3 linked regions of the Schizosaccharomyces pombe genome follow. The gene in region 3 interacts genetically with the main gene of each other region. Each region holds a gene or a part of one and is shown on either strand. Other genes may lie near its edges. The genes, in order: end4, myo1 and ubp9.

Region 1 (3,757 bases), on a different chromosome or scaffold from region 3:
GGTACCGATTTTCAGTAGACTTCAATTCAACACCTAAGTTGGCTAGCTCACGATCCTTTGAATGAAGAGCATCTTCTAAATGAGCAACTTCTGTATTATAACGACTAAGCAAATTTGATACTTCAGATGATTTATTGCGCTCAAGGGAAGCAGCCTTTTCCTGAAGTAAACGTAATTCACGCTCAGTGCTTTCTTGCTTGTCTCGTTGACTACGATGCATAGTCTCGAGTTCGTGACGAGCCCTGTCTCTTTCCAAAATCATATCAGCAAGTTCCAAGTTTTTATTCTTCATTTCTCTTTCCATTTTTTCTTTCTTGTCAATAGCCTCTTGCGCAGAACTTGCTTTGAGCTGAATTTGTTTATATTTCGAAAGTAAATCTAAGTGTTCCTGACGAAGTTGTGTATATAATTTGGCTAATGCTTCGTACTTGTTTTTCCATGTAAGAATCTGATTTTTTAAAGATTCAATAAGATCATCATTTTGATGTATTTGCTCCTGCAAGTTAACGCCAGCCTGGCTCAGCTCATTTTCAAGAGTTCTCACTCTAGCATCATATTGATTAAGTAACACATTGCTCTGTTCAAGTTGTCCTCGAGTAGCAAGAAGCTGTTGCTCAAGTTCAGCCAACTGTCCTTGTGTTTGCATTTGAAATTGTTGCTGAGCAAGTTGTTCTTGCGCAATACGCTGTTGTTCAGCTTGTGCCATTTGAATTGCCTCCAAGGCCTGCTGATGTTGCTGTGCGGCCATCCGTTGACGCTCCATTTCGGCAGCTTGCTGAGCTGCTAATTGAGCCTGCTGTGCTGCGGCCTGCTGAGCCGCTAACTCTGCTTGTTGTTGAGCAGCTTGCTGAGCCGCTTGCTGAGCAGCCAATTGTTGATCTAAAGTAGGATCAGACCAGAAATCTTGAATAGGTTCAGGTTCACTATAAGCCGGAGTAATGTCGCTAGTATCAGGAAAATTCATTTCAACCGGCGGAGATGGAGAAGTACCAGTAGGCTGAGGAGCAATGGTCGAGGCGCCAGTGGGTTGGGGAGCAATTGAAGCAGGTCTCTTAGGAAGATCAGGGATATTGTCATCACCTTCCAAATCGGGGGGATCATGTGGAAGACGAGGGACTGAAATGAGACTAGTCAAATATCGAAGATTTGAACAATCCGCGTAAAATTGACGAAGCCTATGGTGTTGTGACTTATATCTATGCTTCAAAGGTTCCAAAGTCTCTGGGGCATCAACTGTGCTATATAAAGCACGTAACATACTAGTTAAAAATCGATAAATACCATATGACTCCTGAACTAGAGGCACAAGGGCTGCAATTCTACATTCATTTTTATTTGAACGCTTGAAGTTAGAAAAAAGCTGTTTTTGAAATTCATCAATATGATCCTGAAGATTCATCATGTCGTATACAGTTTCATAACCTTCATTAGGGTCATCGACTTGCCTAAGACTAATGTATTCTTTATACTCAAAAGTACCATTAAATTCCGGATGTTGAGCATGAAAAGAAAGCTTATCAAGTAAATAATCCACATAATCACGAATTAAATCGCTATAGCCCTTTGGACTACTTTCACCATCATACTGTCGTTCACAAGTTTTAAGCCAGCCTTTCTCACTTTGAGAATCAACAAGTGCAGACTTATGACCTTCTTGCAAGACACGATGTATGGTAATTAACGCCTTGAAAGTTTGAACTTCGTTTGCAAGCAATGGCTGAACTTTTATAGCAGTCCAAAAAGGCCTGGCTGTATGATGATCCCAAGTGAAAATGATGCAGCTACGAACGTGCTTTCGCTTTGGGGCTGTTTCATCGATGCTAGTAGCCTTCCGCACGCTTGTCATCAACGATGCGTCTGACTGCATGTGATCGGATTGCAGTCGAAACGAACTCATCGTGTACTTTTCGATTTCTCACTTTTGGTAATTAAAAATTTGCCAATTCAAATCCTAACAATTTCTGGTAAAATACAAATATCGTAGTGCTATGTACAAGATTGTCTTCTGTCCGTTCTTACTATAGAAATTGGTTCTGTTTCAAAACTACGACATCCGTGTCCCGTACGAATTTTGATAATTACGAAGTAATTTGTCTCGCAAATATCAGCTACGTATTTCGGTATCTATTTTAACGATACTTAAAAACAGTATTGAATCTTCCTTGTGATTGTTATATTGCAATACGAGGTAATATAAGTAGCAATTGATGTAAGTATTCTAATACACATTATCTGTTACTTATCACTAACGTAGCTAAAAACCGATTCCCGTCCTCACTTCAGTTTATCTCAATATATAGTGTTAAGAATTTGAATGTAGTAAGTGATAGTTACTTTATCATAATTAGTAACCGTACCTTGATAACTTATCATGTCAAGTTGATAAATCAAAACAGTGCACTTGACATATAGTGACACGCGACGTAAAGTATCACAGCGTAGTATTGCGGACAGTAAAAAGTAAATAAAGAATTGCTACGCACCCTAGAATACGAAGAGGTTTACTAAATTTTAACTAAAAAAAAAAAATCCAATAACATGATGATATTAATATTTTTAGTTATCGATATAACCTTCTAAAAAAAATAAATAATTGTAATAAATAATACGTAGATGAATAAACTAGCAGGTGATAAGAGAACAAATGCCTGATGTATTTTAATTTCAAGTCCTTCACACCAATATTTGAAGTTATAATGATTTACCAGTCTAAAGAACCAAGAGTCTTCGTTAACATTTCTGCCTGTACTTTCGCATAATTCTCAGTTTTCGCCCTATCATAGTACACCTTACAGCTATTTGACTTGCAAAGAACTGGATCACTAGATGAAAGCTTACTGCAGCCTCGACAAATATCAAATAGCAAGGAAAGTTTTTTGTTATAAGCATTGTGCTGCGTAACAGCTTTAGAAATAGTAGCACAAGGATTTTTTAAGCAATCACTGCAGAGGGAGTTAATTTTATCAGGAATAATTTCAATATTATTCTTCAAGCAAGAAGAGCAAAGCTTCTCCATCAGAAAAGTGTCCAAAGTCTTTTTTTGAATACCTCCTTTCACTGTTTCAGTCAATTTTAAACTGGTACGTGGTTTGGGCATTTCATGATACCATGACTGGGCACTAGCCCCTAACAAGTTTAGAAATCGATCTAATGGAGGTATCAAACTATTGTTGATATAATAATTTATATCAAGTTGAGAAAAACTCGAAGACAGAAATTCTTCGGGTGCAACTGAGCGGTTCGCCAAGGTGGTACCAGGAGCAGCAGCGATAATCAAATATGGAACACGTTCTCCATATTGAGGTTCCCTCCTAGGATCTTTGGTCATCAACCGTCTAGCCATAACTGCTCCAGGAGGAGCAGTACTTAATTCTTTATATTTTTCTAGACGAACTTCTTTTGAAAAACAAAAATCCATAACAGGAACGTTTCCACTCATAATTTGATAACATACGTTCTGAAATTCTTTTTTGACCGTTGACAAATCCTTTGTCTTAAAAAGTATTTCAAGGCAACGACGAAGGAGCTGCTGTTGAACAGGAGTACCATCCCTTCGAACTGTCTCAATGCCTTTCGCTTCAAAAATTGGAGCTTTTTGACTAACTGATTCAAATTTGAACCCTACATATCTTTTTTTCGCTAACAAGAAACAAGGAAAGTAAATTTTTTCAAATTTAAGTCGAATTGGAGAAGGAAATCTGGAAGTAATGTTGTTTGCTAGCTGCTGTCCGATGTCGAAAGCTTGCTCTTTAGTCGC
Region 2 (3,757 bases), 1.9 Mb from region 3:
TGGGAAAATAGATTTCATGAACTCGTTGTTGGAAGAATGAATAAGGTTAAGAATATCAGTTGCTAACTGATCCTTATTCTTATCGGTCATTCCTGTAATGCTGTAGGTTACATCACCAGCGTAATGTTTGACTATAAATTGATTTTGTCTCTGTTCAAAATGTGGATTGGAGGATAAAAAGTTTAACCGCTGAGCAAAAGCACTATCCGCCGCAGCAGAGTCAGCATGAGCGGTAGCGATAGCGTCGTTCATTGCTGCGAAAAGACCAGGAGGTCGTTTGGATTCAATCAAATCACATACAACTTTATTGTTGAAATATTTGATAGGAGTCCAAGCAATTTGCTCACGCACGTATTCTTCCTGTTCAGTTTTCAAAGTAAGTTCTATAAAAATTTGTTGCAATTTTTCATTAACATAGTTAATGCACAATTGTTCAAAAGAGTTGTTTTCAAAGATTTCAAAGCCGTAAATATCTAAAATACCAATCGAATTGGAAACGCTGTTGTCTGATGTGACCAAAGCTTTGTTGACACGTTCGACAATCCAATCAAAAAGACAGTTATAAATCGCCATAGACAAAGCATCACGAACAGCCAAAGCTTGTGTTGGATTTAAGGGGACTTCATATACAGATCCGCGCCTTGCACCATGCTGAGTTTGCATAATACGAATTGTCAAGGCACGCTCAATAGCCGCAACAGGAACACCGATCAAATAGCCTAAAAATTCGGTGATGCTCTTGTCAGAAATCACGCTACCACCATCTTGGCCTTCTTGAAATTGAATATTTCCTAACCAAAGGATGATAGAAAGCATCCTAAATATTTCATCTTGCTCCGGCTCGGTGATACCAATAACCTTCATGGCGTTCATCGTTCCTTGGAAGTCCTTCTCATCTGAAATCCCATCAACCGACAAACATTGACAAGCAGAAGTGTAAACATAATTCTCCGGACCTTGAATGCCATATGTATCACGATATTTCTGAGGAGCGCTCTTGGTGAATTGATAGAAAATATGGAAATTACGCTCATTGCGAACTTGATTAACAATTCGGTTCTTTTCTAATAAGTAGTTCGTAATTTTAGCGCCGACAGGAACACCTCCGGAATTAAAAATCATTTCTAAATACTTTCCATGACGAGAAGAATTATTATTGCGAAGAGTTTTTGCACAACCAAAACTTTCCAATAAAGGATTGGTAGCTAAAATAATTTCGGAAACTCTTTCAATTTCAGTGCCAACGGACTTTGAAACATGTGTAATATATTGCATGATCCTTTTTGCAGCCTCAGTCTTACCAGCACCCGATTCACCAGAAATGATAATACATTGATTCTCATGATAAGACTTCATTTGATAGTAAGCGTTCTCAGCAATTGCATAAACGTGAGGGCTCGTTTCCAAACGGTTTTTTCCTTGATATGATTTCAAAATATCCATCGTATAAATACCCAGGTCTCGAAATGGATTTACAGAAATCAACACATGTCCAATATATGTATAAATCTCTCCATTGCGAAATCTCAGTTCCAAGTTTTTGTTAATTTCCTCATCTGTAATTTTCGAAAGTAGGGTTAAATCATCAACACCCACAGTCTTTTTGCGTGTGCTGGTATAAACAGCCTTTTTAATACCATTGCTTTTCCCAGTGCTATTGGGAGCAGCTGCAGTCGCAGCTTTCGCGCGGTTTGTTCTCTTAAGGATGGCCTAATTTATTAATTAGCTAACATTCGGCATGCATATTTACTTACCATAAAATCTATTCACTTATGGCCGAACAAGAGATAGGTTAACGACAAGTCCGCACTTACGTGTAGGTTTCTTCTAATACTGAGATAATTGCGTTACGGATCGTTAAAATGAGCGAAATATGAGTTTCTAGGTCAATATTGCCAAAGACCGTTCGAAACTTCAGACCCCAATTATTAAAATTGTACTTTAGCTGAAAATTGAATATACTTTAGCTTTCTGTCGTTTGCTTCATCCATTTTTGGTATTGACATTAAAACAATTACCTAGCCGAAAGAGGCTTGTTATGTAACATACTCGAACGAAACTTATCCAAATGTGTTTTAGGGTAACTTCATTAGGTAAGGTAACGAACACACTAAAGGTATGAAATTTGCGACTAATTATGATGAAGTGATAAACATAACGCGCTTGAATTAGTTAATACTTGATTTGATTATTGTGTGTTCATGTAGTCGATAAGATGAATTAAATGAACATGAATTTTCAATTATGAATATTTTAAGTCGAAGATACCTTTCATAAAGCGAGAAGTTTTGAAGTATTTTAGATATAACGGCTATCGCCGTTTCAAGAACCAAAGCAGCCGCAGATTATTATAACGCGACATAAAAGGTTGAATTCCCCAGCAAATACAACTGTAGTTCTCGTATTGACCTTGAGTATATTCTATGACAATTAACTTATTACAGATATTAGGATGTAACACAATATGAGAGAAGCTATATGATTTGCAGTAACTTAAACATAATCATCTGTTTATATCATTTATAAAAGAATACAAACAGTGATTTATAGACAACGTTTGTGAGTGCCATAATTAATTGAAATAACGGGGTTTATATATAATACCAAACTAAATGCACGAGATGAAAGCTAATCTACTTGCCTGTTACAGAGAAATACAAGGTACACAACTTTAGTAATGTCAGGATATCAAGTAGTGAGAACATGACAAGGCAGGCTCCTTTTAATTGCGAAATCGTAGAAATATCATAAGGAGCTAAATAAAGAACGGCAGGAAAGGTATTTACAACAAGAGTAATAAAACAGCGTATCAGATATCGATTTAGCGAAATATTAGACACATGATATACCTACTAAATCAGCATCCATAACAGCTTTCCCATTGTGAATTTAATCCATCAAGAAATTTAAAGAGTGGATAACATTCCTTATATAATTCTACTCTAAACAAATGCACCCAAGCTAAGGGCAATGCCTTGAGTTTTTGAACGAATGCGAACATGTCCTGAGATAGGACCGGAGACGGATTTTTCAACGCTAAGACTCATAAGTGCGTCTTCCCCAAAAATACTGCAGGCGTACAAATTAGCACTCAAAAAACCACAGTCACCACGCAGAGACGCGTCTGGAGTAAGACAGTTCATATTGGTTTTCTTCATTATTTTATGTAAGAAATCGTACAGACTAATGTCTTCGTTGGAAGAAATATCGACCTTGTTTTCCCATTCAAATTCCGTCCACATGCTACGGAATTGAGATTCGGGAATGAATGCGGGTTTTATATAATCAATAATGTTGACTGGAATGCCATTCAAAACAACAATTTTGTCTTCGTCGGATGCTTTACCACCATACACGATATTTCCAAAGATTACTGCAGACTCCGTTGAAGATACCTTTACCGTAGCCTGAACAGATTTAAAGGCATGAGGTCCTAAATTCATGGGTGGTGGACGCTCTACAACCTTAAGATCTCCCAACGTAGCCAAATCAACAGAGAGATTCTGTAACGTGGTATCCGTTCGATTAACCAATAATATGTCTAGAATAATATCAAATTGTTGTATCTTCACATATGCCTCACAGTAAACAGGATCTGTAAAACCGGCTAATTGTACGATATGATCTAATTTAGATGCCAAATCTTCCACTACCATACCATCGTTGGTGGCTTGTATGATGTCGGACTCAAAATTAAGATCCTGCTTTTCTTCAATGACCCTTTGAAATTGGCGAATATTCAGTAGCTCATCGGCTT
Region 3 (3,757 bases):
TTCCAAATAAAGTCAAAAATATAAAGTAAAACGATGAGAGATGAAAACATTAAAAGAATTTCTCGAAAAGTGTAATAAAAAACACAAATAAGAATTCTTTACCTTTTGGAACGGCTTCTAGAGAATTGCCAAGGAAGCGTATGTGAGTGCTTCGACTCTGAATGTTCATCACTAGACTTGTGAGTATCCCTTAATGGTGAATCTTTAGGGGAGTTGCTTTGGGATGATCCAAAAAATTTACTTCTTTTTCGTGTAAGGGAAGGGAAAAACGAACGACTTTCGCGACGTACGGCTTTTGGAGAAGCATCAACAGATCTTGAATGAAATCTTTCTGCATCCAGTGATGGTTCACGATCAAAATAAGAACGGCTATTGATGTCTCTATCTAAAGTTTTATGAGAATACTGCGAAGAAAATGAAGCAACCATCGGATCCATATCAGGATATGTTATTGTCGAGTTTGATCTAGGGGTACTTGATAGATTCGAAACTTCCACGCTTTCTTGTTTAAGTTGACTTGGAATAGACATCGGCTTAATTGATTCCTTGGTGTCTACTTCACTAACATCATCATCTTCTTCATCAGCAGCAGTATAAAATAGAACATAGGCAGTAGCCTGACCAGGTTGATCACCAAAAAATCGTTGTAGGTAATTCTCGTTGACAGGAGTTACGTTCTCGTCATCAAAAAGGACCCAGCCATAAGTTTTAGTGCGAACGATAGACACATAATGACCACGATGTGGACCGCCTCCTACGTGAACAATAACAGAGGAAAGATAATACATTCTTTCAGCATTCTCTGCATCTTCGGTGGTAGTAAATAATCTCATTTCGTTGGTAAAAACAATAGTATAGAAGAGTTTATCATGGCCCTCCTGGGTTTCGTTATATTTAAAACGTTTCAAATGTAATGAGAGGATTTTCGGTAATTTTTTTATCTTCATTCTTTTTTCTGCTTCCTGCAAACTTTTGCAAACATCACAATGAAACTTATTTTTGGAGGACAACATCTCTGAAGCAGAAAAAGACCTTAAACAGGAAGTTACAGAAGTGTGATTTTCTATATCTATGCTAAGGTCTAAAAAGCTTTCATCCCTTGACGTTATGTTTTCACAAGTTAAACATTTCGTCTCGCTGGTAAGCGTTCCTTCAAACAAAGAATGAACCCATTTTGGATGCATCACGTCGGAATGATTACCGTAGTATTCATCAAGAGTTTCTGTAACAGAATTAAGAAGAAAATTAAAAAACTCGTGAGCATCTTGCTGCTGAGTACTGCGAAAAGCTTCATTGTCTCTACGTAGAACTTGGATAAAACGCTCGGGAGAACAAATACCATAACGACAATCACAGCAACTTACGGAGCAATAAAGATCCTTTAAACAAGTATATATGTTTTCTTTCATTCCATAAGCAGAACAATTGCTTTCGCCTACAACGATTTGATGCTTCGTCCCGGATTCAGAGCCGACGTTACTAATATCGACACAGCCGCAAGAATTTATACCATTGGACCCGTATAAAGAGGACTTCCTATTCTCCATGCTCTTTTTCTTACTGTGTCGTGAGGAAGATGATTCAGGATGGTTGGTTTTTGTACAAACGCTTTTAAAATTTGGAGGAGCACTCGGAAGAGGATACGAATTTAAAGAATCACGAAAGGGCTTTAAATGGTATAAAGATACTAAGACAGAACTCACGTAACTATTTCGTTAGAAATTTACAATCATAAAAGCAACGCTACAAGTATGATCGCCATACCATGTATTTCCATACTAAAAATATGTTAGAGCAGAAGAAATTATAACTAATAAAAATGCTTACATTTGTTAAACCATAGAATCGATCTGTTAGGGTTTCAGGGCGAATTGATGGCTTCGGCAACTCTGCTTCCCAAGTGCTTTTACGCCGGTCAGTGGAGCCTGGGGAATTCTATAGTTTGTCAGTCTTCAATTCATAACTAACAATTGAATTACCATTCCCATCCAACGAAGCAGCGACATGCTGAGTTGAACTAAAGGATGCTAAGTTTACAAACCAAGCACAGCGGGGAAGTGAACGCAAAGGGAAGCTTTCACGCGCTCAGAAAGGGGCGTACGTTGGTGATCATAATCTTAGGCTATTATTATATTAACAGCCAACTATCTAAAATAACGAAGTGCAATGTATTGTAAAATGAGCGATAAAACTCAGTAGATATTAAGTCAAAAAAGCTATAAATAAACCGTAACTAATTTTGGAAATGTGATCTGGTTAAACGAAGTATCAAATGTACAATAAATTAAAAGAAAGTAAACATCAGTTTGGTGAAATGGGAACAGATGAATTTCTGCAATGTATCAAAATTTACTCATTAATGCAAGTTATGTGTAATCGTAGTATTCACCATCCACTAACCTGTAGAAACCGATTTGGTGTTAGAAGATGGAGGATGATCTGCCTTTTCTGAGACTGTTTCACGTGGGATTTCCTTTGAAGGAGTGGCTTCTGCTTGCTCGTTCTGACTTGGCGTGTTTTGACGAAGAGTATGGAGCTCACGTTCAACTTTAAGAATGACTTTGTGGAGTTCGTCAAAATCCTTTTCGGTACTATCAATTTCCTCAGTCGAAGATTGGAGTTCATTCTTTTTCTTCTGTAAAACAAACTGCTTTTCCATGATTTCGTTAATACGAACGATTTCATGTTGTAAACCAAGAATCGCTTCAGCAACTTCATCTCGTCTATTCTTTTCCTTTCTACGAGCCCTCCATGTTTCAAATAAAATGGCTCCTCCAGCAACAGTACTGTAAATTGTTAGCAAGAGAAGAACATTGTGACAAGTTGGATTTCGTAGCTCCTTCACAATGTGCCGTATTAAGCATTGTGGAGAGGAAGTACGTCAAATCGTATTAATTTTCATACAATATAAAAGTTTCTGATAAAAATGTTGCACCAGCATCGACTGCTTTGGCATCGTTTAAAGGTCGTAATCGTACATTAGCTCCTCCACTTTTAGCTCTGTTAATTCCTGTTATTCTAAATTCCGCGCGATGCATCCATTGAGCAAATTCAATACATGCCTATATAGAAATTTCGTTAGTAATGCTATAAGATTCTCTTTATCATCTATTTTACTGATTTATACCTTTCGGAAAGCCTTGTGCTCTTTAGCTTGGGCTTTGATTGTATTGGCAATCGGTTTGGATAATGTTCTTACTAACAAGCTTCCGATTTTTAAGGCTAGAGAAGACATTGGATTGTAGAGAAATGTTAATGGATACCAGAACTTCAAAAATATTCGAGGGGGAATAAACCCGCAAAGGATTTCAAATTACCGACTAAAAGTACTACCACCTCAATTAAATAGAGGTATAAAAGAAAGAAATCTCCGATAAAATTAGAATGCAGATATAAGCGTGTAACAATAGCTAGGATATTTATGCAAGGTCGAAGATATACTCTTCCGTTAATCAATAGCAATATTTAAAACCGCAACACCAAGTGCGTGCTTTATTTTTTTAATCTATTAATTAGAAAAGTTATTGGAAGAGGAAAGTAAATTTGATGTTGCTGAACTTGATATGCATATTCTGTCGGTTTCTCTGATTGGTTTACTAATCCTTCTTACACCGATCCCTGTGTGTGCTTAATATTTTGCTTGTATTAGAAACTTTAGTGTCGCAGTTATCAATACTTGTCCTTAGTAGTACAGTTGTATTTTCATTTCTTAATGTAACGTACATACCATTCAACCTTTGACTTACTATTATATATT

What was found.
Region 1: mutations in ubp9 (region 3) and end4 impair growth when combined (synthetic growth defect), as found in Schizosaccharomyces pombe (one study listed by BioGRID).
Region 2: mutations in ubp9 (region 3) and myo1 are lethal when combined (synthetic lethality), as found in Schizosaccharomyces pombe (one study listed by BioGRID).

The regions. Positions count from the first base shown.
Region 1 is NC_003424.3:3,133,265-3,137,021, reverse strand, and holds the start of end4 (clathrin adaptor End4), read right to left. Parts: upstream 2,036-3,757; 5' UTR 1,898-2,035; coding exon 1-1,897. Other genes in the region: DNA polymerase zeta catalytic subunit Rev3, read right to left, coding at 2,702-3,757. UniProt on the Schizosaccharomyces pombe protein: Required for cellular morphogenesis and polarization of the cortical cytoskeleton. Required for establishment of new polarized growth zones where it acts in actin organization.
Region 2 is NC_003423.3:1,026,174-1,029,930, forward strand, and holds the start of myo1 (myosin I myo1), read right to left. Parts: upstream 1,801-3,757; 5' UTR 1,758-1,800; coding exon 1,755-1,757; intron 1,711-1,754; coding exon 1-1,710. Other genes in the region: coatomer beta subunit Sec26, read right to left, coding at 2,943-3,757. UniProt on the Schizosaccharomyces pombe protein: Type-I myosin implicated in the organization of the actin cytoskeleton. Required for proper actin cytoskeleton polarization.
Region 3 is NC_003423.3:2,934,460-2,938,216, reverse strand, and holds the start of ubp9 (ubiquitin hydrolase Ubp9), read right to left. Parts: upstream 2,066-3,757; 5' UTR 2,007-2,065; coding exon 1,980-2,006; intron 1,936-1,979; coding exon 1,828-1,935; intron 1,779-1,827; coding exon 1,765-1,778; intron 1,737-1,764; exon of another isoform or gene 1,708-1,736; coding exon 99-1,707; 3' UTR 1-98. Other genes in the region: mitochondrial outer membrane lipid metabolism regulator Opa3, read right to left, coding at 2,396-2,786, 2,905-3,062, 3,128-3,235. UniProt on the Schizosaccharomyces pombe protein: Ubiquitin C-terminal hydrolase involved in regulating actin dynamics and/or endocytosis at cell tips and septa.